Oreochromis niloticus: one gene and its partners. The protein of the gene in region 3 interacts with the protein of the main gene of each other region in a pairwise test. Links are inferred from orthologs where the notes say so. Each region holds a gene or a part of one and is shown on either strand. Other genes may lie near its edges. The genes, in order: prkab2, fxyd6, creb3l1 and tmem11.

What was found.
Region 1: the proteins of creb3l1 (region 3) and prkab2 interact in binary tests that used the Homo sapiens proteins (3 or more experiments, as listed by UniProt). The link is inferred for Oreochromis niloticus from reciprocal best matches to the Homo sapiens genes CREB3L1 and PRKAB2.
Region 2: the proteins of creb3l1 (region 3) and fxyd6 interact in binary tests that used the Homo sapiens proteins (3 or more experiments, as listed by UniProt). The two-hybrid records come from large-scale screens. The link is inferred for Oreochromis niloticus from reciprocal best matches to the Homo sapiens genes CREB3L1 and FXYD6.
Region 4: the proteins of creb3l1 (region 3) and tmem11 interact in binary tests that used the Homo sapiens proteins (3 or more experiments, as listed by UniProt). The two-hybrid records come from large-scale screens. The link is inferred for Oreochromis niloticus from reciprocal best matches to the Homo sapiens genes CREB3L1 and TMEM11.

Annotation. Positions count from the first base shown.
Region 1 is NC_031982.2:13,490,083-13,497,823, reverse strand, and holds the start of prkab2 (5'-AMP-activated protein kinase subunit beta-2), read left to right. Parts: upstream 1-4,726; 5' UTR 4,727-4,845; exon of another isoform or gene 4,846-5,051; intron 5,052-6,322; 5' UTR 6,323-6,347; coding exon 6,348-6,506; intron 6,507-6,622; coding exon 6,623-6,780; intron 6,781-6,933; coding exon 6,934-7,027; intron 7,028-7,354; coding exon 7,355-7,469; intron 7,470-7,741. Other genes in the region: calcium-binding mitochondrial carrier protein SCaMC-1, read left to right, coding at 250-417, 603-753, 1,941-2,122. UniProt on the Homo sapiens protein: Non-catalytic subunit of AMP-activated protein kinase (AMPK), an energy sensor protein kinase that plays a key role in regulating cellular energy metabolism.
Region 2 is NC_031979.2:21,611,538-21,619,239, forward strand, and holds the start of fxyd6 (FXYD domain-containing ion transport regulator 6), read left to right. Parts: upstream 1-4,683; 5' UTR 4,684-4,906; intron 4,907-7,702. Other genes in the region: tmprss13a (transmembrane protease serine 13a), read left to right, coding at 364-526, 791-969, 1,617-1,715, 3,424-3,566, 3,679-3,831, 3,914-3,928. UniProt on the Homo sapiens protein: Associates with and regulates the activity of the sodium/potassium-transporting ATPase (NKA) which catalyzes the hydrolysis of ATP coupled with the exchange of Na(+) and K(+) ions across the plasma membrane.
Region 3 is NC_031986.2:12,843,828-12,851,254, reverse strand, and holds the start of creb3l1 (cyclic AMP-responsive element-binding protein 3-like protein 1), read left to right. Parts: upstream 1-4,421; 5' UTR 4,422-4,678; coding exon 4,679-4,789; intron 4,790-7,427.
Region 4 is NC_031969.2:14,159,485-14,167,258, reverse strand, and holds the start of tmem11 (transmembrane protein 11, mitochondrial), read left to right. Parts: upstream 1-4,754; 5' UTR 4,755-4,864; coding exon 4,865-4,911; intron 4,912-7,222; coding exon 7,223-7,739; 3' UTR 7,740-7,774. Other genes in the region: protein NATD1, read left to right, coding at 577-695, 1,589-1,705. UniProt on the Homo sapiens protein: Plays a role in mitochondrial morphogenesis.

The DNA of each region.
Region 1 (7,741 bases), on a different chromosome or scaffold from region 3:
CTCGCCTCTGTCAGTGCACCCCAGGGTGGTTGTGGCTACAACGTAGCTTGCCATCACCAGTGTGTGAATGTGTGTGTGAATGGGTGAATGACTGGATATGTAAAGCGCTTTGGGGTCCTTAGGGACTAGAAAAGCGCTATACAAATACAGGCCATTTACCATTTACCATGCTGCGGTAACATGTCCTCTCCACGCAAACCAACCAAATTTGACCTCCTTTGTATTTTTTATGCATTGCTTCTCTCTTAGGTATTAAAGACTCGGTTGACCCTTAGGAAAACTGGCCAGTATGCAGGAATGTTTGATTGTGCCAAGAAGATCCTGAGGAAGGAGGGCGTCAAAGCTTTCTACAAGGGCTACGTACCAAACTTACTGGGCATCCTTCCCTACGCTGGAATAGACCTGGCTGTTTATGAGGTATGCTGGCTTTGTGACGCATGGAGATTTCACAATGGATTGCACTTTAGTTAATTAGCTCATTTATATGCACACTTAACCAATCCATCGTGCAGAGTTACATTAAATTAAATGAGAGAAATTTTTGTGTTATGCTGATTTTGCACATTACCTCAATTTTCCCTTCTCTTGTCATAACTCTCCAGACTCTAAAGAACACTTGGTTGGCACATTACGCCACTGACTCAGCCAACCCTGGAGTGCTGGTGTTGCTGGGCTGTGGGACCATCTCTAGTACCTGTGGCCAGCTGGCAAGCTATCCACTCGCACTTGTGCGCACTCGGATGCAAGCACAAGGTAAACACAGCCTGATATTTGAAAACAGTAATGACATAACTAGGTAGCCCCTTCGTTACATAATAATAGCATAATATTTTTCAAGGTGGGCGGGATGCATGTGATGGTGTAAAGGTTCTGTAAATGTGATCCATGTTTTCTGTAAATATATACTTGTGTTACAGCCCACGTAATGTCAAGGGGCTCCATCTGAAAAAGGGCATTCCTCTTTAACGTTGTTCACTTTGAGATGAAAGTTGTTTTTTGAATGTAACATTTAGACAGGGTCATGGTCTCACAAACTGACAAATCAGTGTTATATGAGTAAAGAGACTAATAGACAAAAATGTTGGCTGTTATGGACCACTACATTCATTGGCCACTTTATTAGTTACATATTGCTATTATCAGGTTGGATTCTTCTTGGCATAGATTCAGCAAGGTGCTGGAAAAATTCCTCAGAGACAATCCTTGGTTCATACTGGCATCCACGATGTGACTCTCCACTTAGATTGAGATCTGGTGATTGTGGAGGCCATTTGAGGAACAGTGAACTCATTGTCATGTTCAAAATCTCAGTTTGAGATGGTCTGAGTTTTGTGATAATGGGGTTTTATCCTGTTGGAATTAACCATCAGAAGATGGTACACTATGGTCATAAAGGGATGGACATGATTAGCAACAATACTAAGGTAGGCTTTTGTGCCTAAACAATGCTCAATTGGTACTAAAGGACCCCACGTGTGCTAAAAAAAAGTATCTCTTCTACCATTACACTACCAGCAGCCTGAACTGTTTGATACAAGACAGGATGGATCCATGCTTACATGTTATCTAACATCAACAAGGCATTTTCACCAAGAGAACTGGCACTCACTGGATGTTTTCGCTTTTTCAGACTATTCTCTGAAAATCTATTCTAACCCTAGAGATGACTGTGTGGGAAAATTCCAGCAGATCAATAGTTTCTGAAATGCTCAGACCAGCCTGTCTGACAAAAACAACCATCCACGATCAAAGTCACTTAAACGATTCTCAGTTTGAACTGACCATGACTACACGTCTAAATACGTTGAGTTGCTGTTATGTGACTGGCTGATTACATATTTGCATTAAGTCAGTTGAGCAGATGTACCTAACAAAGTGGCCAGTGAGTTTATTTTTTGCTTTTTAATTGGTTCTCTAACATAGCTTATATTTCTTTACAGCATCTCTGGAACCATCAAACCAGCCTTCTATGAGTTCTCTGATGAAGAAGATTGTAGCCAAAGATGGTGTTTTTGGACTCTACCGGGGCATCCTGCCGAACTTCATGAAAGTCATTCCTGCAGTCAGCATTAGCTACGTCGTTTATGAGTATATGAAGAGTGGCTTAGGGATCTCCAAATGATACTGCAAAAAAAAAAGAAAAAGTTTACTTTATATGTCAGACTTGAAAATGCCTGAAATAACTCCAAAAAGACAGATGGCGATCAACCATACAGTGCATGTTTTAAGAGCCGTCTGCCAGTAGTTAATTAATAATTTGTGGTATGCATGGTCAAATTTTTTTTTCTTACTGTAAAACATACCATTCTTCCTGCATTTACTTGCGTTATTTACACACAAAAAGACAGTTCTGGAAAAACACTAAAACGTGTTAAGTGTAATGGCTCGTTTCATTTATGCCACGGATATTCCTTTAAACTGTGATGAAACAAATACGTGACATAGCGTTGTGCGTTTCCTTTGTTTGAAAGATGACGCTATGTCAGCTGAACTTTTCACATGTCTATGCACTGTATACATGATTTTGTAAACACCTGCCCTAAGTGACAGCGGTTCCAAACAAACCATTCTCCAATCAGCAGCTGTCCACTAAAAATAGCTGGCTTGGACAAACGAATACTTGTTAACACTGGAACAGTGTGTGAATGAAGACACACATCTTGTGCAATGTGAAAACCACTGATCTCTCTGTTTGATAACGATTGAAATGTGCCTTATCTGGGTGTAAATCTGATGATAACATCAGAAGATGTGTTTTATAACTATACATATTACTGTATATATGTTTCCAGTTATGCTTATTTATGGGATTCAACGATGAAAAATACTTGCAAGAAGCATGTGTTTGTCATGTTTCAATCCTCATTTCAACCTAGTACATACGCACAACACATTCCTGCTACAGTTAACATTCATTCATTTGTTTCATTCTCTTTCACACAGCCAAGTGGATGGAGTTTAGATGTAGCATGCATGATAACAATCTTCTGTGTTTAGTTTATGTGGCATTTTCTGAGCTTGAAACTAGTCTTGATTTATTAGCTGGTGAAACTTGGTCCTTCCAGGGAGGCTTGAATGCTGATATTGCCTCCTCAGTAATGTAAGGATCACTGGTTGGAAAATCGGTCTGATGTGTTGAAATCTTTGCCAAGTGGTCAATAAAGACAAAACCTGTGGATTTGTTTCCACACAGAACTTAAACTTTGTGTTGGTGTCAGTAAGGATATTGAACTTCCATCCGGTTAGCATCTATGAAGAAGGAGATGAAACGGAAATACAAAAACTGAAAACATTTTTGCATCAGCTTTGTATTTTTGATTGAAATTTCTGTGTGCATTTTTTTCTATAACAAATTAAATCCTCCAAAATTAGGAGGGAAGGGAAAACATGTTTACAGTTGAATTTTGGATTCTTGCTAATCCACACAGCTTTAAAAATATGCATACAAGCCTGAAGATGTACATGTACTCACTTAAATCTTTAATAAGTGATGCTGAAGGTTCTACAATGACGTTGAACTTGGCATGGTCAAAACCTGTTAAGTTCTTGTTAGTGATCATGATTAACTACAACTGGTAAAAAGGATTTGTTTTTCAACACTCACTGGATTGATCAATACTCTGATCAATACTCTGAACAACGGGAACGTTTAAAGAACTCAGGAAAGAGCTTAGAAGGAGAATTGTAGATTTACACAAGTTGGAAAGGTCTCTTGGAACCACGTCTAAACAGCTGCAGATTTCTAAACAATTGCAGGTCCAGATATCTGGTTCCTTGTACAAGTTGTTTGGATGTGTCATCCATTTGCCAAAGTTTAGAAGAAGACCCAAATTGTCACTGTCAGATGAGAGGAAAATGGTTAGGATGTTCAGGAACCACCAAGGCTCAATCCTGCCACGAACTTAAACTCCTGGAACACAGTCATGTCCACATTGAAGTGAGTTTACATCACCAAGGACTGAGAGAAGCCCCTGCTCCATAATCCATATTTTCAAGCTCAAATGAAACTGCCCACATGGACAAGTTAAATGCCTGCTGGAGAAAAAAAATCTCTCATTTGTGACATTTTTGACAACACCTGTATATACAGTGATTAGCCACAACATTAAAACCTAGTGAGCAGGCTTCCCTAATGCCAACAAAACAGCTCTGACCATCAACATATCCCCAAGTAAACAACTTGGGGATATGTTAATACCCCAGGATTTTTGGAAGCTGGGTCCTCAGGGGGTATAGACATACTATACAAACCACATTTATTATTAAACGTTTGATAGTAGGCATCATAAATAATAATAAAAGTAATAATAATAATAAAACAATTTAAAAAAAAACATTCCTTTGAAAAGATTGGACTGAAAATAAGTGAAAAAGCATGTCAAAAAAAATTAAACTGAAACATCTTCAGAAAACCTGGGGAACTGCTGCTGAAGAACACTGTAAAAAATTACTATAAAGTCTGGCTCCTTGGAAGGGAAATATAAATAGGTGAGAGATGATTTGCACAATGCTGTATATTCACTGGGATCACATTACATGCTTATTACTTACTATGTTTATTTAACTATGCAGTCAGTCGTAAAATACTATTTATTTTACTTTAGTTCCTTGCGGGTGTCTCTTAACCTTCTTTATTTTGTGGCCAGGCTGTTTTTGTGACAGATGTTTCCTTGCTGGTGACCGCGACCTTCAGCCTTTTTTTTTCGCTTATTTGAACAGTTTTTGTCTTAACCGGTTTCCGTAGTCGGGGCAGCACTGAGCTCTCTGCAGTTGTTGTGGAGAGGTGGGCCCGCCCTCTGCTAAAACACAAACTGAAGTCAGTGTGCAGATAGGTGGAGGGTGTCGGTGAGTTTTTCCTGTCTGTCAAAACCTAATGGTGAAAAACTAGTGTTTGTTGCGGCGCAGGTAAACAGAGCAAACAGCTTGGTCGTTTGTTTGTAGACAGTGACAGCTAGCAGTTAGCTAACTTTAACTCCCAACAGCGGCTAAAAATATTCTCCTGCGAAGTGACCTGAGGTGGACACAGCTGAACAGCTGGTGGGGAAACTACGGTAGGTTTCAGTCAGCAAGCTGTACGAGTACTCATGATTAATTACTAATGGCAAAATTGTGTATCTATGTATGTGTGTATGTTATTTTAAGGTCTGTAGTTAAAACTTGTTGATTTGGCGCTAGCTTAGCTAGTGGGCGTTAACTAACGGAGACTTTCTTACTACGTTATGTCTGAAAGCATGATTGTATTTACGTTAAGCGGTTTTTGATTCAAGTCCAGACACACGGCCAGAAGGCAGTCCCTGTTTCACCTGTCTGGCTTTATCCGTCTACCGACCGGTAAGCCAGTTAGCCCTACTGGAAAGGCGTTTAGCTTTTTTGCCTGAGTCAGGCTGCTGCTCATCGTGTTACGATGGTGTTTGTCATGCTAAACAAATAGTTTCATATAACAGGTTCAGTTTGTATTTAAACATATATCACAAGAGCTTGTGGTCAGCCTCAGCTTCTTTCTGTGATGTATTGTCTTGTTGGATAAATGGAGTTCGACTATGGTGTGTATTCAAGACATCTTCATTGTCATATCCTGTTTTTAATGTGTTGTCAGTAGCATCTAGAGGTTTGTATTGATGCAGATCTCTTAAATTTTATATATAGATAGATAGATAGATATAGATACATATATACATATGTGTGTGTGTGTGTGTGTATAGTATGTATATATATGTATATAGATATAGATATATATATATATATATATATATATATATATATATATATATATTCAGCCTTTTTTCCATATATATATATACATATATATATAAAATGAAAAGTTTCTAAGACATTAAAAACTGGATTAAAAAAATATATATATATTTTTCTACTGACTGATTGTAATAACACAAAAAAGCTCATAACAAATATAAAAAAGAAATACTGACCATCAGTAAAATGTTTAACATGGAATAAAATTAAAAATGAACTTAAAAAATAACAATACTAAGCTGTAAAATGATAGATTAAAAGGTTTTAGTTACATTTTTAGTCAAATTTTAAAAAGAGAAAGTACCGTCACTTTTTAGCTGTTTGTTGAACAGCTAAAAATGAAGAACCAGAAAACCTGGGGGGGTCTTCGTGCTTCATAAACAAACTTTCATCCTTATCAGATGTATAAAATTTATAATGGGGAAAAAACAGGAGATTACCACGAACTATTAAGATGTCTAGTGCTGATCTGATGCCTACAGTCTGTTTGTCTCTTCAAGTCTTTTTCTTGCTTCTGAAAGATCTTGCTTTATGCTTAAACACATAATGGATTGTCCTTTATTTCCAGTGGCACTGCAAAAAAGTGAAGCACCATGGGCAACACAAGTGACAGAGTGGCCGGAGATCGACATGGCGCCAAGGCCCATCGCACAGACAGCGGCAGCGGTTCCAAAGACCAAGAACCCAGCAGCAAGATGGTGGACAGCACAGATGACCCCAACACCTTCAACACACATGGACCTGAATCGAAGGTACGCATAGATAAATACAGATTATAATATAGAAACAAATTTGTCGTCCTCAGATTTGAAAGCATTATTTGGTCAAAACAGCTTATATTTGAGATTCATATGTTTACTACTTTCAGGCATCAGGAGAGAAAGAATTCACCCCAGATTTGGATGATCTGGTTAAAACTGGTCCTCAGGCTCGCCCCACTGTGATCCGCTGGGCCGGAGGTGGGAAGGAGGTCTACATAGCTGGTTCTTTTAATAACTGGAACACAAAGATACCACTAAATAAAAGGTAAACAGGAAGTTGATAACGGTACGTTATCATGTTCATTATCTAGTAATGAACATAATGACCACAGTAAAGCTGTGGTCATTATGTAGCTTGAGAGTTTGTAAATAAATGTTTCTGATATCGCACTAATACATTCTCCTCCTCTCTCCTAAGCCATAATGATTTTGTGGCAATTCTGGACCTGCCCGAAGGAGAGCACCAGTACAAGTTTTTTGTAGATGGACAGTGGGTGCATGATCCATCAGAGGTACAGTAGCTTCATTTTTTTCCCCCATTAACTTATTAATGCACACTGCATTTGGGATGATGCAGAGACCTCTGATAGTACAAAAAGGAAGGGACACATTCCTTTGTGGAAATTTAGGATTTAAATTTCATCAATCTTATATTGTGTTATCCTCACAAAATGTGGACAGTGAAACCTCAGAGGGACTGTAAAGCTTTGAAAAGCCCTTCTATTTGGTGAAAGCCGCTAAATAGCTCTTTAGCCTTAGGGAAAGATGTGCAGGAAACTGCTAATTTTACACATGCTTCCTCATTTCCTCTGTGATGATTTCTCTCTCCTTTTTGGCAGCCGGTGGTAACCAGCCAGATGGGAACTATCAACAACTTGATCCATGTGAAAAAGTCTGACTTTGAGGTGTTTGACGCCCTTCAGGTCGACTCTTTGGAGTGCTCCGACACGTCAGGTCAGCCTGCTCTGTTATTGAGTTATTTAGTCAACTAAAGGTAATCACCTTGTGTAAATAGTAACTGGAAAGTGCCTTGTCATATTGCAGCATGCCTTTCCTGACCTTGCACTAACAGTCCCAGCAATTTATGTCTTAATACAGCTCCCAGGAAAGGAGTTGAATAATAAACGCCGAAATACATACAACAATAAAGAATACAGCTTTTTTATTGTTGTTGTTGTTAGTGGTTAATTGGTCAGTAGCTGCATAGAGTAAAGTATGTATGTGAA
Region 2 (7,702 bases), on a different chromosome or scaffold from region 3:
AGTGAGCACAGGGCCAATAGCGGACGTTATGACCTCATCAGAGCAGTTAAGAAAACCCCTCTGCTACTTAACTGGCCAAAAAAATGACCTCATAAAATCTTAAGACTTGTTTAAAACTGTGTGAAAATTACTCAAAGAGTTCTTAAATTATGGCCACAAGGTGTTTTGTTAGGTGACCGTGACCTTGATAACATAAAACATTATGACTCCTGTGAAGATCGCTTTAAGATTTAACAGCACTGGAGCAGCAACGCTGGCAGATACAATGTATTTTTTCTGCACTCATCAAGGATAAAACTATATGCTGAAAATAGTTTTGTTTCCCTTTCTTTCTTTTGCATGGTACCTTGCATTGTTGTCCAGATTGTGGTAAGCAGCAGGCCACATCCCGGATCATCGGTGGCACCGTAGCTAAAATGGGTAATTGGCCTTGGCAGTTGTCGCTACAGTTCAGAGGATCCCATGTCTGCGGAGGAGTCCTGATCTCCCCTGATTTTGTGCTTTCTGCTGCCCACTGTTTCCCAAGGTAACCAACAAAAACAAAAAACAAAAAAATTAAAACAAACATACCCTTGTAATTTTTTTCACACCCCCTTAAATTGACCACAGTCTACCTTAGTAAACTCTCTGATTCCTAGAGTCTGTACATTGTGATTGTAGATACTTTAAGGTCCAGCTGCAGTTAACAATGCAAAAACATGCATTTTAAAAATCATAATGCCCATTATTCTGTGCTGAAATCTACATCAATCTGTTGCTGTCCATTGAGGAGTGTCTTTCGGGGTTTCAGAGACATCTCTGCGGCTCTATCCCCTCAGAACTGGAGAGTATACGGTGGAACGGTGTCCCTGAACAATCTGCCTGCTCCGTACCTTGTTGAGAAGATAATAGTCAATGAGAACTATGACACTAAAACTAATGACCAAGATGTTGTTCTTCTCAAACTTACATCCCCAGTCACTTTCAATGGTCAGTTGCATCTTTACATTCTTTAAAAAAATGTGTGTAGTCCTCCAACCTTGATAGCTGTAAGCATGTATAAGCATATATGTGGGCATCATGTTGGAAAGCAGAGCGTGTGAAGGATTTAATTGCTTCCTCCATGAAAATATTCAGCACAGAAAACCTTCGATGATGGAACCTGTGTTAGGAGCACTATGTAGAGTTTGCTGAATTTGCACAAAGAAAGGAACAGTCTTAATTTTTTATGGTAGGTTTATTTCAATGAGGAGAGACACAATAACAACTAAAAATCTAGGGAAAAAACTTACATCACAGAAAAGTTATACGTTTTTTTTCCCCAAATTCAGCAGGTGATCAAATAATGATTTCTCTTACTCTGTACTTTATATAGTCTACAGTAGATTATGTAGATTATCAACAAAAACAGGACACTAAAAAGTATGCAGAATAGTAACAGCAATGAAAGTATTTCCTTTCCTGCTCAGTCTGAGCTTTTAAAGCCTGTGAGTTCACAGTCAAACTGTTAATCTGCCATACATAGTGCAGTTGTTTTACCGTGTATGTACAGATCTATCTACAACACTATCCTTTTGAGCATACAAGGTGGCTGATGTGTTGGCAGAAGTTTAAATACATATTCTTGTGTTAACCAGATAAAGTTCAGCCCGCTTGTCTGCCAGCATATAACCAGAACTTTGTGCAAGGAACTCAGTGCTGGACCTCGGGTTTTGGCACCACACAGGCTAGTTCAGGTAAGCAGAAATGTAAAAATGTTAAGTATACTAGAAATCTAGCAAATGGCAGAGTTTTAGTCATTTATGAATGTAATTTATTTTACTGAGATGCCATGATTTCCATTCTCATGTGTTGGGGAATATAGTCTGCCTGTCACGATCTGAGGAGGCAGACCGTGCGGTGTGTGTGTGTGGACCCAGGTGCGAACACACGAGAGTAGGCTGGAGTAAACTTAACTGAAAGCGAGCCTTTATTGTGGCTGGTGACAAGAAGTGCGAACAAGGCAGAAACGCAGTGATAAACTAAACTATAACTAAACTGGGAAAATGGTACTAGGAAAAGCTATGAAGACACAGGAAACCATAACTATAGATACAGAGACTGGCTGTGACAACATGGAGGGTGGAAACACAGACGACGCGACAGGCTGCATGAAACACAGAGACTAAATACACATGAGGGATGATCAGGGGAAGTGGCCACACATGGGAGCACAGCTGACACACATGAACCTAACGACAGGACAGGAGAAGTGAAACTAAATACACTGACATTGAATATAGACTTTCAAAGTAAAACAGGAAACATGGAGATTAGACATGGAGATAAAACATGACATGAACTTAACATAACTGCATAGACAAGAAACGTAGACGCAGAAACCAGGGAGACTGAGTGCAGGGGGAGATGACATAAGGGAACAAGACTAAATTGCAATCTAGAAATAAATAAGGTGAACTAAGCTAAGGCACAAAAGAATACAAAAGATACATAAACTCAAACACTGGGTCGCTCGACCCAGGACCATGACACTGCCTGTGTACATCTGCATTGCATGTTTAAGCCCTGTTGTTTCCAGCAGTGTTTGATTGTTTTATTGTACATAAAGCTTTAAAAGTTTAGGTTTGGTCTATGAAGGACTTTTAGCCATTTTAGTCACTAAAACTAATGCCTTAAATTGAAGGAAGATAGGACCCACCCAACGCATTGACAGATACAAACAAAAATACAACTGGGGATCTGGGGAAAGGTGCAGCATTAAAGGTCACAGTGAGCATAGTGGCCTCCATCATCCACAAATGAAAGAAGTCTGAAACCATCAGGACTCTATCTGGCCAATCTGAGGTGTTGGGGAAGAAAGGCCTTAGTTAGGGAGGAGATCAAGAACCCAATGATCAATCTGACAGAGCTCCATCTTTGCTCTGTGGAGACAGGAGAACCTTTTAGAAGGACAACCATTTCTGCAGCACTACACCAGTCAGGCCTGTAAGGTAGAATGACCAGACGGAAGTCACTCATAAGCAAAAGGCAAACTATTTAACATTGCTGATGTAATAAAAATGATCAACTGAAAATTAAAATAACAAATCTGCAAGCTGAGAAAGAATGGGAAAGGATTACAAGAAATCAACAACAATGAAATGACGGGAATGAGGAAGTAACTAGCATCTGTTGTCTATATAATCATCTAATGAAAAATATGCTTGAAAAAGAAATGTTAATGGCTGATGGGCGGGTGACAACTCTCAATCAATAAACAAAGGACTGGGACATCATTAATCATAAAAACTGAAGACAAATGAGGAAAACAAAGAAGGCACAGTTTCTGTTGCTGAGACGGTGCACCTCACAGTAATGTGTAATATTTACATCAAGCTACTATTATGGGGTATTAACATTGCCATGTAAAGGAAACAATGACCTGTTTTTTTCATTTTTTTAAAGGTGTTGCCTCGAAGGATCTGATGGAAGTGAGTGTGGACATCATTGATACACAAGTGTGTAACAGTCGTGATGTTTATGGAGGTCTAGTGACCAATTATATGCTCTGTGCTGGGAAACTCAACGGAGGCAAAGACTCCTGTCAGGTGAGCAGTCAGTATTAAGGAACAGTTTAACAGAAATCATATGCATAGATTTGACCATCTAGCAACCTTTGAAGTAACATTTGTGCTAACCAAGTATAATATATTTTTCCAGGGTGACAGTGGTGGACCTCTGGTGTGCCAGGGAGAGAATCGCTTTTACCTGGTGGGGATTACGAGCTGGGGAGCTGGCTGTGGTGAAAAAAACAAACCCGGGGTTTACACCAGAGTCAGCAGTGTTCTGCCCTGGATCTACACAAGCATGCATGTAAGAGAGAAAGGAAAAAAAATAATTAAAAACTAGAAGGGGAAGGCTTTCTCTATGTTAACTCCTCCTTTGCCTCTTGCAGAGAGCTATGGTTTGACATCACTCTGCCTCCTGCTGGTGTTTTCCTCCGAATGAAGTCACTATGAAGTTGTCTTGAGGGAGTAGCAGGATGACAAAAATGACCACATACATTCATTAATGTTGTGCTCATCATCTATACTCATCTCAGGTCACATGGATTGAATATATTTTACACTACCCACATGTATACAAGCTAATCAATGCACTGACTTCACTCTTTTAATTTTGATTTTATTCTTTTGTGCGTGTACTAAAGCTTACCTTTAATTTAAGTGAGCTTTAAAAGCAGATGATTTTTTTATATCATGTGTTGTAATTCCATGAAACGCTTTCAGCACTCTACTGAGATGTCCTTAATCAGTTTGTGGTTGATTAATGTATGACTGTGTATAATTATGTATGATTAATTATTATGAAGGTGTTTTTCTCTCTCTCTCAGGAACACAATTCTAACTTTTGTGTACCATATTAAAATCAAGACATTTTGTGCATTACCTTTGTGAAGTATAAGCACCGTAACACTTGACTCAGTCACTAAGCAGTGCACTTAAGCCACTACTCACGTTGGGATTTTTCTTGAAATTGTTCTTGATTGTATTCTTTGTTATGTTCATGTCATAAGTTTGTGAAGGATCGTGCGAATAACATACACAACATATATCAGATAAAGAAGGAACCACCCACTCCCCTTTATTGTGGTGTTTAATGATTTTGTGGGCAGGAGGGTCTGTGGTGAGCGTGCCTGGTGTGTGAGAGAGGGAGAGATGCAGAAAGAGGGAGCGGCAGGGACGATTCCACGCACTAAATAAGCAGTCACTCCAGGAGTCACACTGTTGTCGTCATCACATCTATTTTTCCAGGGGAAGTACATATGAGCAGGTTGCACATATTGACAGATGAGAATACTTGAAGCAGAGTCCTTGTGAGACAAACTGATTGATTTTTGCGGGTGGATATCAGTTTGTTAACGAACGGTCCGCTGGAGAAACAAAAGGTAAGTTAATAAGCGACATATTTGATTGTGTTATTCATATAAAAACAAAAAGGGATCCAGTGGTCTAAAAAGAATATGGGTGCAATAAGACTGTAAGGCAAGGCAATTTTATTCATAATGCCTCTCCAGTGTGCATAAATTGTGTCTTTCGTGCAAACTTCTTTGTGGGATTATTTTACGCAAACGTGTGGTGTAATTTATTATTATTATTATTTTTAATGTCCCACTTGTCTGGTGTACATGGTCACAATAACTAATCGAGATGGCATTTTCAAGGCTGCTTGTTATTTACCACGCGAACATGTACCACGAGGGTGTGTCTGTTGGCACTAATCGCTGGTTACGCAGATATTGCAAAAACGGGGTAAAAACCGTGATTAATCCACTTGTCATTACCAAGTAAAAATAACTCGTTTGTTATGACGCTGCTGTTTAGCTGTTTCAGTGAAAAGGAAAATCACCAGGCGGATGATGGCTCGGGTTTTCTTAATCAGCAGATGATCCACAGGTTGAGAGACGCAAAAGTGGATCGATGCGAAGACGTCACGCATCGGATATTGAGGCATATTGTGCAAGGTGTTTTTTGTTGTTGTTTTATGAGACTCTCAGTCAAACCAAACAACGCGTAATTTGGCTCAGATCCTTGATGGATCGTCACGAGTAATGGGGAGGTTATCAGTGTGTGTGATTGAGGTCTCCCTTTGTCCCCGACAGGCGACTTTATCTGAAAACAGCCGCTGAACGTACGGTCACGCTCGTTATATATTTATTTATTTATTCATAAATCAGTTATCTTAGAAATGGTCTCAGTGCAGGCCAGAGATTTCGACCCTAAAGATGCGTGCCACACCCCTTATTCCTGTTTAAGTGGAGTCAGTGTTGTCTCTGCTTTAACCCATTTCTCTTTCGGCGCCACAATTGTCAGTTGGAGACAGTTACCATGGCGATAACTGGACACTAAATTACGATGGCTGTCATAGTGGTGTAACATCATTATAATGGCAGATATAGAGGTCAAGGCTTTTTGTTTTGTTTGTTTTGTTTTGTTTTTTGGATTCATGTATTGTACAACCCAGTAAGCTGCCCCACATTGTATTGATGTTAATATATAGGGCTCTTTTCATATTTAGTTGGATTTATTGGGTTTAGATAATGCCTCAGGGTTATTAGTCACCCAAACTAATTTCCTTCAGACACTACTCCAAAGTGTGAAGTGAAACAGGAAGATATGGCCCAGTTATCCCAGCCAGTATTTTAAAACTGTGTTAAAAGGTACGCCTGCTATCTAAATACCAATAGATCTACAAAGCAAATAGTGTGGTATCAGTCATGGAGGTGCAAATTGATGTGCAAATGAAATCTACATGAATTTGCACTTCCCTGACTTTGAAGCACACAGGACAAGCCAGTGGGGAAAAACAACACCAACAACAATGAAAACATCTGTCATGTGATAATTTCAAATATCACCTAACCTCTGTTTCATTTGGTACATGATAGGCTATTGATAGAACTACTATACTATTATTGTAGGGTCTCTATCTTGCAATATAAAGCGCATTGAAGCAACTGCTATTGTGATTTGGCACTAATATAAATTAAATTGAATTGAATTGACTGAGTGTTGGTGTTAGTGGGGTGTGGTCACACACTGTCATTTTAGGATGGATTTTCCTTCATGACCTTGTTGGGGTTTTTTTTTTCATAACTCCTGCATTAGAGTTACACATTTGCCAAGCAGTATAGTGTCAAAGGTGAAAACCATTATTTTTTTCATGTCTCTGTGATTCTGGAGCACTCTGCTGCCCTTGTGTACTTCACTATCTCACTGCTGTTATTGCTTTGTCCCTCCTTGGCCTTTTTTTAAAAAAGCTCTGTGCATGTTATACTGTAAATGTCACTACGGTACAACAGGCTGCCCTACCAAAGTCCCCTCCCCTCAGACAGTGTCTCTGCTGCATGCCCTTCACCTGTACTACCAGACAATGTCTAACCCTGTCAGCCTGTCTCCCAGCCTCACTGGCTTTCATCTTGCCCTTTCCTCGTCCCAACATTACAGGAAACAGCCTCCATTCAATGTTGTTGCCTTTTCCAAACAGATATCATCACCACGTCTGCCCTTTTCTAGTTCTGTACTCTCAGACAATAGAAAGCCTGGCTCAGGAACTTGATATTACCAAACAATGTTGCAGATTAGACAGAGGAAAGATGGAAAGGCAACCGCTCAGGTGTCATGTTCACGCACAGGGAGAAAAAGGCTGGCAGAAACAGTCAGATTATACATTATATGGGGAAGTACAATTGTGCCAAATCTCTAACTCATTCTCACAGGAAAAATATGGCACTGACCCACCCAAGGTCAAAAGTGCTACACTTCAGAAGGAAGCCAAATTGAACTCTAACAAAAGTCATTATAATTTTTGTATTCATCTGATGGTCATGGATATTGGTCCGAGAAGTAAGTAATTTTAAGCTAAACCTATGAAGCTGATATTTTAATACTCGTGTATGGATGTTTTGTCTTCATCCTTTTGTGGGACAGTTGATAGGACTTTGTAGATTACAGGTTTATGTTATATACAAGTATATTGTAAACCAAATCATGATATTTTCTTAAATATAACCAAGTTATTTAGTGCCTAAACCTTACTTAACACTGAGTAAACTGTTAAACTGAACAGTGACTGAAACCCAAAAGAAACAGTAAGCAGCAAAGTATAAAAACTCCACTACTGACTAGATTATATATAGTGTTATGTATAAAACACTCAAACCTAAGGAATTTCTCACCTTCAA
Region 3 (7,427 bases):
TCAATTGTGAATTAGGTATTTGTAGGTTTAAAAGGGCCCTGCTCGAGTAAACGAAAGGTCACCACAGTTATATAACACCAGTGTGTGTGAGAGAGAGAGAAAAACAGAGACACCTTGTACCTTGGGGTGGGACACCATCCGTAAACTGATATGTGGAAGGAGAAAAGAAGAATGAGAAGGGATAAGGAAGGGGAGCAGAGAGGGAAGAAATTATAGATAAGGAAAAAAGCAGGAAAAAAAGGAAAACCAGAGTCAGGTGAAAGAAGCCTGGAGAGTAAGAGATCATTACATAACAAACTATTGTTTGAAATGGAACATAAAACAAACACAGAAATACCTGATGATAATCAGTGTGGTCCATTCTGAAGAGCATGTGTCTCTTAACCTCCACCACACCCTTTGCAATGACCTCAATATGAACAATACAGCATATTTAAACACTGTCCTAAATCTGTGCTAATAATCCTCAGGGCCCCATGAAGTTCTGGTGAATTATCATTTTCATGAATGACAAATCTTCGTTTAGGTTCAAAAACAATCCAAACGACACTGGAAATGTACTAAATTGCTGACGTGTTATATTCAGCTTTCTCTTCCTATCAATTATAAAGGCTGATGCGTATAAGGCAGTAGTCACTGCGTGGATAGGTGCCAAATCTGACTTGAGGTCTGGGGGGTGTACCCTCAAAAAACATTGTATTGTATTATACTGCTCTGTTTGTTTGCAGTTTCAATGGCATATTTTGTTTCAGATTGGTATGGGATTTTCGAATGCTGCAGTCTTAAATATGATCAATCTATCTAATTAATGGGCTGCATACCACAGGCCTTTAAACGCGTCAGTATTCCATTCCAGTGATCCATTACTTACAAAAACATCACTTGACCCAGCTGTCTTAGCTAATTATAGGTCAAACTCCAAATTTCCTTTAATCTCAAAAAATCTTAAGAGAGTCAGAAGAGGGATGGTTTGTTTGAAGAGTTTCAGCCAGAATTCAGAGCACATCACAGAAACAGCTTTAGTGAAGGTTACAAATATTCTTCTTATGGCCTCTGGCTGTGGACTCATCTCTGTGCTTGTCCTGCTTGACCTCAGCACAGCACTCAGTACTATTGACCATAACATTTTATTAAAGACATTAGAGCATGCTGTAGGAATTAAAGGTATTGCTCCACAGTATGAATCATATCTTTCTAACAGACTTATGACAAACTAATGTTAATTATGGGATTCCACAGGGTTCTGTGCCGGGCCCAATTCTATTTACGCTATACATGCTTCCCTTAGGCAGTAACATTAGAAGGTATAGTTTACATTTTCACAGATGATACCCAGCTTTATCTATGCATGAAGCCAGATAACACTCATATCAATTAGTTAAACTGCAAGAATGTCTTAAAGACATAAAGACTTGTTGACCTCTAATTTTCTGCTTCTAAATTCAGATAAAACTGAGGTTATTGTACTCAGGCCTAAAAGTCTAAGAACCATGGTGTGTAACCAGATGCTTACTCTGGATGGCATTACCTTGGCCCTCAGTAATACTGTGGGGAATCTTGGAGTCATTTTTAACCAGGATATGTCCTTCAATGCAGATATTAAACAAACGTGTAGCACTGCTTTCTTGCATTTGGACAATATCTCTAAAATTAGAAACATCCTGTCACAGAGTGATGGTAAAAACTAGTTCATGCATTTATGGACTACTGAAATTCATTATTATAAGGTTGTCCTAAAAACAACCATCGCAATTCATACAATAGCTGTAGAGACATCACACACAAAAACACTTTCACTAACGTTGGTTGGCTTTATCGTTATGCCAATCTAAAAGGTGTTTTGAGATATTTCTAGGTGAATCTAAATCATGGATGACCAAGCGGTCCATAGGGCATCTAACCATAACAACAACTACTACTACTGGTACTAATCCTACAAAATAGGTGATGAAACTCATGGATAAGCCCTTCTGACATGCCGAGTTCACTTAAAATCTAGCCAGATCATGGGACAGGTCGGAGTTGCAGCACACACACATTGTTTGCACCTCTGAAACGATGAACAGGGTTTCTCTTGCCATGCTGTATTTCAATCTGTGTCTTAGAGGAGAAACAATCTGGGACAGAATGAGAGGGATGAAATGAGACAGGCGAGCCTGAGCAATCATGGTGGAGTGAAGAGAAATATCTGTTTCATTCCCACTTTGTGTGTGTGTGTGTGTGCGTGTGTGTGTGTGTGTGTGTGTGTGTGTGTGTGTGTGTGTGTGTGTGTGTGTGTAATAGCTGCAGGGAGTATCTTGAGGTGTCAAAACAGCCTTTATAGTCACTTGTCTTTTTCCCAGTTTCATCTCCACAAAAATACCCATTCTCAAGGATAGGCATGGATCTCTGCATGTATTTCATGCTCAAAGATATCTGCAGGTGGATCATGGACTGTGTGTACTGTTTGTTTATTGATACTGTAGCTGCGTGTATTCACAGAACTTTCACGGATCTTAAAATAAGTGGATAATAACTCAGATGAAAATTGGGTAATATTACAGATTCTATTTAGTGCAAAAAAAAAAATGAAAAGGATTTCACTTTAGCTGATCAGATCTCTGCTCAGGTTGAGGTTTGCACAGCAATAAGGTCACCAAACTCCTCTACTGGAGAAGAATGACGTAGATTTGCAACCAAACTTGCAGAAGTGAGGGAGAACATCCATCAGCTTGTGTAGAAGTCCACACACTCCTGACAGGGCATCACTTTTAATCAGAACAAAAAATAATAATAATTCAAATAATAAGTTAGTGTGTTTCTGTACTTTGTCAAAAAAAAAATCCATAATTACATGTTTTTATTTATTTTCACTGTTAATCCACTGTAAAACAAAACAAAACAAAACAAATAAAAAACAACCAAATCCCCCAGAAATTTTGATAATATTTAGTCAAAAAGCAGGAATTTTTCTATCACTTTTGGTTTATTTATATATATATATATATATATATATATATACATATATATATATATATATATATATATATATATGTATATATATATATATATATATATATATATATATATATATATATATATATATATATATAAGATAAGATAACCTTTATTAGTCCCACACGTGGGAAATTTGGTTTGTTACAGCAGAAAGTGGACAGTGCAAAGTTACATAGCAAAAATTAGAAAAACACTGGAATAGGATAAGAATAAGATAATGTACACAACTGTACACAATAGAACAGAATAAAATAAAATACTATATACAATAGAATAAAATAGAATACAAATGCTATATACAACTGAGTAAAATACAACGATGCCAGAAAAGAGTATTGCACTTAGTGTTATTGCACATGTGTGGATGTGTGTGTTTGGTCAGTTGTCTTTGTTGTGGAGTCTGACAGCAGTGGGGAAGAAAGACCTGCGAAATCTCTCCGACACACACCGTGGGTGCCGCAGTCTGCCACTGAAGGAGCTGCTCAGTGCTGTCAGAGTCTCCTGCATGGGGTGGGAGATGTTGTCCAACAGGGATGACAGCTTAGCCACCATTCTCCTGTCACTCACGACCTCCACTGGGTCCAGAGGGCATCCTAGAACAGAGCTGGCCCTGCGGATCAGCCTGTTCAGTCTCTTCCTATCCCCGGCAGAGATGCTGCCGCCCCAGCAGACTGCACTGTAAAAGATGGCTGAGGCCACCACAGAGTCATAGAAGGTCTTCAGGAGTGGGCCCTTCACTCCAAAAGACCTGAGTCTCCACAGCAGGTACAGCCTGCTCTGCCTTTTTCTGTAGAGGGCGTCTGAATTATGAGTCCAGTCCAGTTTATTGTTCAGATAAACACCAAGGTACCTGTAGCTGTCCACAGCCTCAATGTCCAGAGCTTGAATGTTTAGTGGTTGCAGTGGAGGATGTTTGTGCCTGCGGAAGTCTACCACCAGCTCCTTGGTTTTACTAGTGTTGATCTGGAGGTAGTTCTGCTGGCACCAGTCCACAAAGTCATGGGTAAGTTCTCTGTACTCCCTGTCGTCCCCATCAGTGATGAGGCCGACTATTGCAGAGTCATCAGAGAACTTCTGCAGGAAGCACTGGGTGGAGTTGTGGGAGATGTCTGCAGTGTAGATGGTGAAGAGGAACAGAACTATGTGTATATATATGTATAAGTACTTAATTACTGTGGTGTAGTATGTAGTAGTAAAACTTTCACATCTTCTGCAGCCATCCAGTGGGCCAGATTGGAGTCTGTGTGGGGCCACTCCTGGACCCCAGACCTTATGTTTGACACCCCTGATCTAAAGCCCTAAATGGGTCTTCTTCTTTTCTTCCTTTTTGTTAATGAGCGAATAAGCGACTACAACTTTGTTTTGTGGGCGTTTTCTTTTTTGGACGTCACGTGGGCGGGGCTTCTCTGAATATTCATCGGCGAGTGGCTGAGGCGGCGCACGCGAGGAGAGAGCTGGAAGAAGCGCCGACGTCTCAGCGACAGGCAACTGGAGGAGGATGTGAAAATTTGACATTTGTCAGCGCTGACAGTGAGAGAGAGCAGCAGCAGCAGCTGGAGTCACACACAGGCGGTGCGAGGCCGTGTGAAAACAAACTGCCCGCTTTTTAATGGTCTGACTTTAATGGTCTGACGCACAGCTGTCCATCCGTCCGGTGAGGTGCAGACAGACGCAGGCAGTCATGATGGACTCTATCTTAGACAGTTTAACAGCGGAGAAACTCTATCCGTCCGGAGGGACCAACCTGTTGGACCTGGAGGAACTCAGCGACGGAGATTTTCTCACTAATGTGGTGAGGCTTTTTTTTAATTACATTTTTATTAACGCAAACTCTTAGTGCTCTTTCTCTTTCTATCGTTCTTTCTTTCTTTTTTTTTTTGCCATCTACGATAAAATCAAACGCACCTACACTGCCTGTTCCGCCCGGAGCCGGACCTCAGGAGGGCGGTGTAGCTGTTAGATCCTGACAGACATCCGGGGCTCGTAACCTGTGCTCATAACCCCTTGTGTGTACGTGTGTAGGGGTGTGTGTGTGTTTAATTGTGTAAACTAATGTGTTTGAAAGATCGGGAACACACACAGGCTGGGGTGTTACTGGTTAACTTGCGTGTGTGTGTGTTCAGCTGGCAGATGTTGCAGCATTCACCAGCACACCTAACTATTAATTTAGTTTGTGTGACTGTGTGTGTCAGTGTACTAACTCTTTCACTACACTCTCAAGTGTTTTTATTTCATTAAATCTGAATCATCTTATAAAGAAAAAAAGAAAATACAGTCTTAATATATATATTTATATATACAGTCTAATCCCTCCTTTATTGTAATCTACCTAATTATTGTTGTATTTATCTCTTGATGGCTTCATTCTGTTGCAAAATAATCTTATAATCTCAGGGTTGCATAAAAAGACAGATTTCCAATCTCTCACAGATCCCTTTTAACCCTGTGGAGTCATCAGTGATAACCCTAACCCTAATTCTGTGCTATCACTGTATTTTTTATTTGTATTGTTATTTTATTTATTTAATTTTTTGGCAATCAGAGGATGGAAAATGAATCTTTCTGATTTTTTTTAAAAAGAAACATTTTTTGCTTCTCAGAAACATTGGGGTTAGGATTGGGGCTGGTCATCGTCACTCATGGCGACTTAAGCCCCCGTCCACCTGCGAGTCCAACGGCACCTGTTTCCCTCAGTGCTCTGAGCACATCCCCATCCTTGCAGAGACACCTCATCTGTCACTATAACAAACAACAGGATGTGGTTGTGCAGAATCATGGTTGTTCATCAGTAGCACCAACAGTAGATTTCTTGATGTAGCAAAAGTGCTGCGACAGGAAGCAAGGATTTGATAAAGAATCAAGGGTTCAAATTGCTCCATGAATAGTGAATCGTTGTTATGTGGAAATTGTCTGTTTAACGCTGGCAGCCGAGCTCGTGTTTCTGGTTCTGCACAACACAGTCAGAGTTAATAGTGATGAGAGGATCGATAAAAGCCCGTGAGCATGGCGGGACACATTCATCCTCGCCAAGTACACTGAAGGTGCGCTGTGCTCCAGAGAGTTCCTGCACCCTTCCCTTTAGGGACTTAATTGCTGCAAACCACAGAGGGCAGACTCTGTTAAGAGCAGCATCTTTTGTCTTTGTTTCCCTTCATTCACTCAGTCTCTTTTTCCACTTTGTGTCATCCCCGCTTTTCTTTTTTTGAACACCGCAGGTTTTTTAGGCAGACCTCTATTCTAGTCGGTGAGTCAGCCGAGCAGTCTGCTCGTGGTTTAAAACCCCACAACACTGTTCTAAATAAAGTAGTCCACTCTGCTATGAAGCCACTCCTGGGCTGCACCACAGAGGACATGGGAAAGGATGGCTGATTAACCGAAGTTTCAGTCTCTCCCAAGTCTGCAATCTGAGCTGAGAGTTCTGCATGCCATTGGTTCATTTTTCCTTTTATTTATTTAGCTTTTTTTCAGGTGTATATGACTCTATTGCTTTTCTGTAATAAATGAGTTCTTGTTTAAACCCACAGTAATGTGCTTTTTTTGTTGTTGTTTTTTTTGTTGTTTTTTTTGCTTTCCTACTAGCCATAGTAGGAAATTGCATATTTACTCCTTTTTGGCTCCATTTTAGTCTCCACCAACTTAGTTGCAGTTAACAAGTCTTTCATGTTACTTGCTGTCTTTTTAGCCTCTTTTAAAATAAAAATTATGATTCTTCTATGTTTATGTACAGAACTGTTTGAGATTGTGGTTTGTGCAGAGTTGAGCAGAGAGCTCTGTTTTTATATATATATATATTTTTTAAGTGGCATTTATTACCACAATGAACAAGTTTTTAACAATGTGTTAAAAGCTGGAAGGCTTACTGCTTGGGATACCTCAGCTCTTTGGTTTTTAATAGGCTGTGCACTGTGGTCCAGTCCAGTAGGGGTTTAAACATTTTCTGTTCTGCTTTTTATTTACCTTTTTACAGTATATAGCTTTTAATAGCCAGTGGGTAAAAGAAATAGGTGTGGGCAGCAAGACAAAACAAAAATCGATTGTCAGCCATTACTAATGGGACAATTTACTGCAAATTACTGCCCGTGAAATGAATTTGCCGGGCCTGACAAAGAGCAGAGTGCGACCAAATATGAGCACAGACGTGGAGTTTTATTGATTTGTCATTTTGAACTCATATAATGCGATCATGACGCAAGCAAATTCCTCAAATTTCCAAACATAAGGTGTTTGTACAAGAAACCCTTGTCAGCTCTTCGTCCGATGACTACTAAATAGAAACAAGAAACAAAATTAAGACACACATAAGCATTAAGCGTGAATCACTTTAAAACACAAGAGGCACGGTAAAACGGGAGTGTCCTTTGGCTACTGTTAAACCTGAACAGATGCTTTGATCATGCGTAGAGAGCACCAAATTACCACCTGCCAGCAAC
Region 4 (7,774 bases), on a different chromosome or scaffold from region 3:
TTCCTTTCAAGCGTTCAGCTCAAGTGCTTTAAACATATTTTAAAGTTTTACACTAAGTCTCCTTCGTTTTAATAGATATTAATCCTTTACGACACACTAATATTACTGTTTTAAGTGTGTCAGTACTCGTGTTTGTCCTGGTCAGTTGTGGGTCAGCTGTTAAGAGGAAAATGGTGGAAGCCATTGTTGTGCTGAATGGAGATGTTTATCTTTTCTTCACCCAGCAACACGACCCTTCCTCCACAAGGGCATGCCTGTACCTGGCCACTCGTGCCTTGTCTTTCTCAGCAGCCATGTTGCAGCGCTACATGCAAATTAAAATCTGCTACCACACCTTAATAATGTAACTGGGGCGCTTAGAGTCAGCTTTAAAATGCTGAAACGTTGAAGTAATTGTGGGATAAAACTTGTAGTGTGCAGGGTGGCAGGCTTCTGCGGTTTCTGTTCTTTGTTTGTTTTTTTTGGTCATGTTGTCAGGTTGTTATGTCATGTTTGTAATCGATAATTAGTAAATCTTAGCAATAGTTGAGGTGAAGACCAACCTATGCCAGAGATAATATTTGTGTTTGCTCTTAGGATCCCATGATCGTGCGGTCCTTCTGTACGAGTATGTTGGAAAAAAGACGGTGGACCTGCAGCACACCGAAGTTCCAGATGCTTATAGAGGGAGAGGAATCGCCAAACACCTTGCCAAAGTAATTTTTTAAACCCAAATTTTGTGTTTGTTTACGAAACAATGCTTAGGTAGGCTCTGGCAATGCTCAGTTGGTATTAAGGTGCCAAAAGTGTGCCAAGAAAATATCCTCTACACCATCAAACCACTATCAGGCTGAATTGTTGACGTAAAGCAGGGCGGAGCCATCCTTTCATAATGTTTACACAAAATTCTGACCCTACCTTCTCAATATCACATCAGAGATTAAGACTCTCATCAGACCATCAATGTTTTACTAATCTTCTGTTGTCCAGTTTTGTGAGCCCGTGCAAATAGTAGCGTCAGTTTCCTGTTCTTATCTGATAGCAGTGGCACGTAGTGTGGTCTTCTGCTGCTGTAGCGCTTCTCCTTCAAGGTTTGACGTGTTCTTAATTCAGAGACGGTCTTCTTCATACTTGAGTTTTAATTACTGGTTATCTAAGTTGTAACTATTGTCTTCTGCTCAGCTTAAAACAGTCTGTGCATTCTCCTCACAAGCCAGTTTCTCTTAGATTATTGCCATTCTCTGTAAACCCATAAGATGGCTGTGTGGGAAAATCCCCATAGATCAGCTTGTTTTTGAAAATCTCAGATCAGCTCATTTGACACCAGGAACATTCAGAGTCTCTTAAATCAACCTTTCTTCTCTATTCTCATGCGCGGTTTGAATTTCAGGAGGTTTCCTTGATCATGTTTACATTCCTTTTTGAGGTTCTGCCATGTGATTAGCTGATTAGATATTTGCATTTATGAGCAGCTGAAAAAGTGTACCATACAAAGTGGCCGGTATATTAAGCTGGTACAGTGAGAATCGAATATGTTTCCACTTAAATCATTGTCCTAGGAAAAGCCAGATGATTTTGATGTGAGCTGTTATGCACCATGTCATTGCAGGCAGCCATGGATTTTGTGGTGGAAGAGGACCTGAAAGCTCACCTGACCTGCTGGTACATTCAGAAATACGTGAAAGAGAATCCTCAGCCTCAATACTTTGAACATATTTACCAATGATCCTGCATGGCGGTGAAGGAAGGTGGCAAAATGGACTCCAAGGAGAGAAATACTGCGTGGCGGCATGCTTTGGAGTTACAGGAGAACACGCGACAAAGGACCTTCTAGGCATGGTTAAACACAACACTGACTGAATCCAGAGAAATAGCTGAATCTCGAACCATAGACGCCTGTGAGCTGAACGTTTGATCAACCGATAAGACAGCTCTCTGCATAAACATGAGGATACACACTGGCCACAGGCAGGAGGGGAATCAGCCTATCACGACTTGTACAAACAAAGCAACCAAAGGTGAAGCCTGTTACCTCAGACAGAAACTTCCAGGACCCAACACTGACAGAGCAGATTTGAGTCAAATGTTACAGTGTGTTGCAGATTTCTGTCCTCAACTGGACTCACTGGTCATGAGCAGCAGTACGAGGTGACCACCCCTGGTGTTTTTGTCTTTGACTCCACTGATGCTCAAATACTCGTGTCTTTTTTGTTTTATGTAAATTGCAACCTCTCTTTTTCATTTTTTTTCCTATTCTTTGCAAATAATTCAATTTAACCCCTTCTTCTCAAGTTTTTAGAAAATATGTTTCTCAGAACTGATATGCTAGTGTAGAAGGTTTTGTATGCAAAAAGGCTTAAAAACAACAACACAAATCTAAATTTTTTTTGTAAGTGACAAAGTGGGAAAGCCGAATCTGAATTTTACCAATATTCCTCCCCACAGAGCCTTGTTATAAACATCACTCCATCTACTTTCATTCCTCTTCCACATAACAAAAATGAAGTTATTCCAGTCATATATCAATTCGCCGAGCGATCAAAGGTGTAGAAAACGGTGACGATGTCTGCCTCAAGATAACTCTCGCTGTTTCCATTGTACATTAAATGTTACAGGCATTGCTGATAAACGGGGTCCTGGTGTGGTGTGACACATCAGCGTGTGTATGTATAGATGTCTCTGTTCGAACCAGCAACAAAAACAGCACTGTTCTTTTCAGGGCATTCACATTTTTGTGGTGTCAGACGGCCCTTTGTCCTGTCATTGAGGAAATGCACTGGGTGGCTGTGGCTGTTTTGTTATTTGATCCATATTTCCTCTTACCCACAAGGCTTTTCTGCCCAGCTGATATCAAAATGATAAAGATCTCTGTTAAAAATAAAAATAAAATATCCCCCCCCCCCCCCTTTTTTTTTGTACTCTTTCAAGAGGTTTTGCTGTTGACAATCTTAAGTGTTGAGGAGAAAAATATACCTCAGGTAACTCGGCACACTCTGGCAGGACAATGCAGATTCTTTCTGCTGTGCTCACCTCGAGTTAATTGCAGGAATTTCCCTTTTGTTAAACTTCCCCTTGGGTGGAACACACCTAAGGATAGGCCAAGGTATTCGAGGTATTATTTCATTCTGTGTATGTGTGTTTTGTCTAAATTTGTGTGTTTCCTTGGAAGGAAGCAAATGTCTCATTTGAGCGAGTGGCTCTCACAGAGGCATCAAAATCCAAACCTTATTACACTGTTTTGTGATTTGGACTTTTTTTTCTGTACTTGCTGTCAATAAATGCATAAATAAATCAAATACACATCAGATGACTAATGCTTTATGTACGTTGGCAGGAGCAGAGGAACATTTGTGATTATTTATGGAGAAAACATGTGATCATGTACAATATACTTTTTATAACCACTGTGCAGTCATCACTACGGTGGTCATACACTGATAATAATTATCTACAATGCAGTTCGTCTTGTGCTGTTAATAGTTTCAGCATGGAAACTCCTTTAATACTTAAACCAAGCTATTTTTACACTGGCAAACCAGAACGTTAATGGTATTGGCTTTCGCTTAGTATTCAATCAGAGTACATGCAGAAAATCGAGGTAGCAGAATAGTTTCAAAATACAGAATGAGGACTGCTGTATTTGTTTAAATACTTGATCTTCTAACATGTAGATGAACAGTGTAAAAGTAATCGTGTAAGACCTAAAATTAAAGAAAAGGTGGAATTTTTACACTCCACTGAATATCTTTATCAGTCCCACACATCACAGCTACTAATGGAGTAGATTCATGTTCTAGATTACTGATGACAAATATCTGTACGTATATATGTATGTATTGGCGCCATCCAGTGGCAATTTGAAGTTATTAGATATAAATGCTCCCCATTGCTAGCGGGTTAAAACTCGTGGACTGTGTATAAGACAGACACATCCACTGGTTTGAGAAGTCCTGTTTCACAACTTCAAGTTGAGCATGTTGGTTTATTCCTGGTGGTGTTGGTGTCACTGAGCTAATACATTTAATTAAAAAAAAATATATTCAAAAAAGGTAATTGGTACACTGAAAAAGCATGGTACTTGCTAATAACTCAAACTCTGTGGCAGGAACTACTTTCTTTCTCTTGACTTCTTTTAAATTGATAAATCCATCAATTTATTTAACATGTCTACATGTGTTTAAAGCTACAAAATGCACCTTTAAATAGCTTACAGTCCTTATCTGAATAGAAAATTCCTCACTAAATTCTTAAAATTACCAGGCTTAAATATCATTGGAAAGCCACAGCTGTCAATAGCCTTGGTTGATGTGATTCGTGCTGGCACAGCATTTGTTCCCAACCATCTCACATTCCTGAACGTAGCCATTATAGTTGTGACAGCCAGCGCGCGTCAGGTTACAGCACGCGGACAGGCAGCGCGCACGAACACAGCCAGAGCACGCGAGGACACATTATGGGTGAGTACCCAAAGGTCTCCACATAAATCCTATTACAAAACGAGATGACGGAACAATGTGTCATATATTATAACAAACTTGACTATGCATGTAGCCTGTTTGCATTATTATGGGTTTAAATATGTAAATGGAACCGGTATTTTTGCTGCTTAGTTTTGCTGTGCTAACTTCATGGCTCGCCAAATTTAAATAAACATACCTTCATTCAGTTTGTTAAATCTTTTCAGAATGTGTTCTGACCTCCCCAACTGTACCATTATAAAATACGTAAAGGCAGGTACTCTGTCCGAACAGCATCATGGGAATAGTAGTCCGCATTCGAGTTCAACTGGTGAGTCGAACAGAAACTGTATTTTTTTTACACACTACAAAACCCAGAATACTGGGCGCTGTCTTACGTCAACCGCAATCACAGTTGTATCTCCAACATGGCGTCGCTGGGAAGGAGGCGCGGTGTCCCAGTAAGCAGGGAGAGGTCAGTTACTCCACATCTTGGCCATTTAAAGAACATGTTTTAATATGAAGCATTGTTTGGTCGATGACACCACTTGTCAGGTTCCGAACGTGCTTCCCGTTTGGGATTCAGAGTTAAATATCAACGGGAGAAGTCTGGATTTTTTTTTAACCCAGGGTTAGCTCATGTTAGCGGGCTAACGTACACGGCTAGCTGTCGCTAACGAGCAGCTCATGTGATGTTTTGATTATTTCACAGCAAGCGATTGACCGGGAAAAGTTTGGTTTTGCTGCTTGTTGGGGCAAACGGCAGTGCTGTATGTGACTGTCGATGTGCTTCACGGTATTGGCTCGGCTCGGCGTGTTGACCGCCGTGTTTGTCGACCTGCTCGCTCAGTAACTTAGCTGGCCGGTACTCCAACTTTCTGCCAGTCAAGCGAGTTGACTAATGCACCTAACTGAAGTACAACTTTCCCCTTGCTCCGCGAGGCTCAGCCAATTTTCCCTAGTATCTTAATATGTCATAAAAATTCACACCTCCGGTGTGAGAAGCATAGTGTTTAGCGTTTTAAGGTTTGTTTGTTGGTCCAAAAGAAGGCCTTATATTGTAACCATTTGGTACTTTTGGCATTGGATAATTGGGACTTTATGGAAAGCAGCCCCCCCCCAAAGTCTGTGTTTTTAAATGTGGTCATACACATGTTAAGATCTGTGTGCTGTTGGGACACCATTATGATGTTATGATCCCTACTTACAACGGTTGGGTGGTAGGTTGTGGGGGTTTTTTTGTTTTTTGTTTTTTTTTTGGTCTTTTACTTCTTTTGAAATCGTAAATTCAAGAATTTCACTTACAAAAAAAGTCCACACTTTTGATTGAAACATTTTGTTATTTATTCACAACATTTTGCACACCTCATCTAATCTCACTGTCATAGTCAGTTCAACGTGGTGAAACTTTAGTGCCGTCAGTGTAAAAGTCCCGACTAAAACATCAACCAAAACAGTGAATAAAAGTACAGTTTCTCTGACAACAGTTTGTCCAGCTGCCTAATTAATTACTAGAAGAAGATAATGGCATTCAACATCTTATGCATTGGGGACAAATGTGCTAAAGTTAGCTGCAGGTCTGCTGAATCCAGCTTTCAGCTGTCAGATATATGTTGTATGTCATTGGATTAAAAGTGTTCCCATGGCTGTCTGTGCATTTTGCGTTCTCTGCGTGGAATTACGAAAAGCGTAACCACACGTAAGACTGCTTTCAGCCACATGGTCTTGCTCTCATTCTTACTCCAACATCCGATTTAGACTTTTGCAGTGAATCTTTGTAAAGCTTACGTTGCCTATGTAGGTAGGTGGCCAACGCTATTGCCAACACCTTCTGTGCAGTTGTGTCCTGGAGTTTTAGATGCAAAGGCAGCCATGATAGAAACAAATAACGTTCTGAGACTTCTTTTCCTCCTTTGCTGTGGTCAGTTGATTTCAAAGGCAAGTATATTGGTCCTGAAAGGTTTTACATTTCTTCTGTACGTTCTCTAAGCAATCTCCCTCCAGGAATTTGCCTGCCAACTTTGTGTCCTTATATTGAGGCTTTTATAGACATAACATGTAGTTAAATTTCCAGGAAGGTGCACATCAGGATAGAGATTAGGGTTTCAGAGGAGTACACTACGACGTACCTACGGTCTTAACACAGAAGCCTAAATCAATCAAACTGTATTTCAGACATAGTCTGGTACTAAAATTTGGTGCTGATTGAGCAATCAATCAGTTCATTAGTACCAAAATATTTTGGTTGGTGCCTTCAAAAAAGCATTCAGTACCCAGCCCTACTAATTACACTACATATCTTACTTTCAGAAAGTCATGGATATGAAGACATACGTTTAATTAAATAAAGTACAACAAATATTAAATTCACCCCCTGCTTTTTGTTTTTGTGTGTGTGTTTTGTTTTATGATTATTACTGCAGGGGGGGGGGCAGCCAGTCCAATGAGTCCTTCATGCAGACTTATGGTTGGCATTGTAGCTGTTGTGAAGCTGTTGGCAAGCAATTTCAAGCTGAAACTGGGATATTTTAAACATTGGTATTGCTTCCCAAAATCCACACTTACACTCCTGTTATCGACTTAAAACAGTGTTAGAAGTGGGTGAATGAGCCTCTGGTTATTGGTTAGAGAAATATCCTTCCCTTTTATGTTTGTTAGATGGTGACAGAGTGGACATTTCAGCAGGCAGGAAATGGGGAAATACAGTCTTCGCTTAATTAATGTGTGTTTAATGTCATCTGTTCTTACACTCACTGTTCCCTGTCTGTTCCTGTGTTTCTGCACAGGGGTGTGATGGCGGCGTCAGACTGCTACATCGTGCACGAGATCTACAATGGGGAGAATGCACAGGACCAGTTTGAGTATGAGCTGGAGCAGGCGCTGGAGGCCCAGTATAAATACATTGTTATCGAGCCCACGCGGATCGGAGACGAGACGGCCCGTTGGATTACTGTTGGCAACTGCCTGCACAAGACAGCCGTGTTGTCGGGTGCTGCTTGCCTCCTGACGCCACTTTCGCTGCCTGTTGAGTACACGCGCTATGTGGCGTTGCCCGCTGGCGCCCTCAGCGTGGCCTGTGCCGCCCTCTATGGGATTTCGTGGCAGTTTGACCCCTGCTGCAAGTACCAGGTGGAATACGACAGCCAAAAACTCTCGCGGCTGCCCCTGCATACACTGACCTCCTCGACGCCCGTGGTATTGGTACGCAGGGATGACATCCACAGAAAGAGACTCCATAATACGATAGCACTGGCTGCCCTGGCGTATTGCGCCAAGAAGATCTACGAACTCTATGTGGTATGAGTGCACTCTGAAGAGGATTTAAGAACCAACAGAAA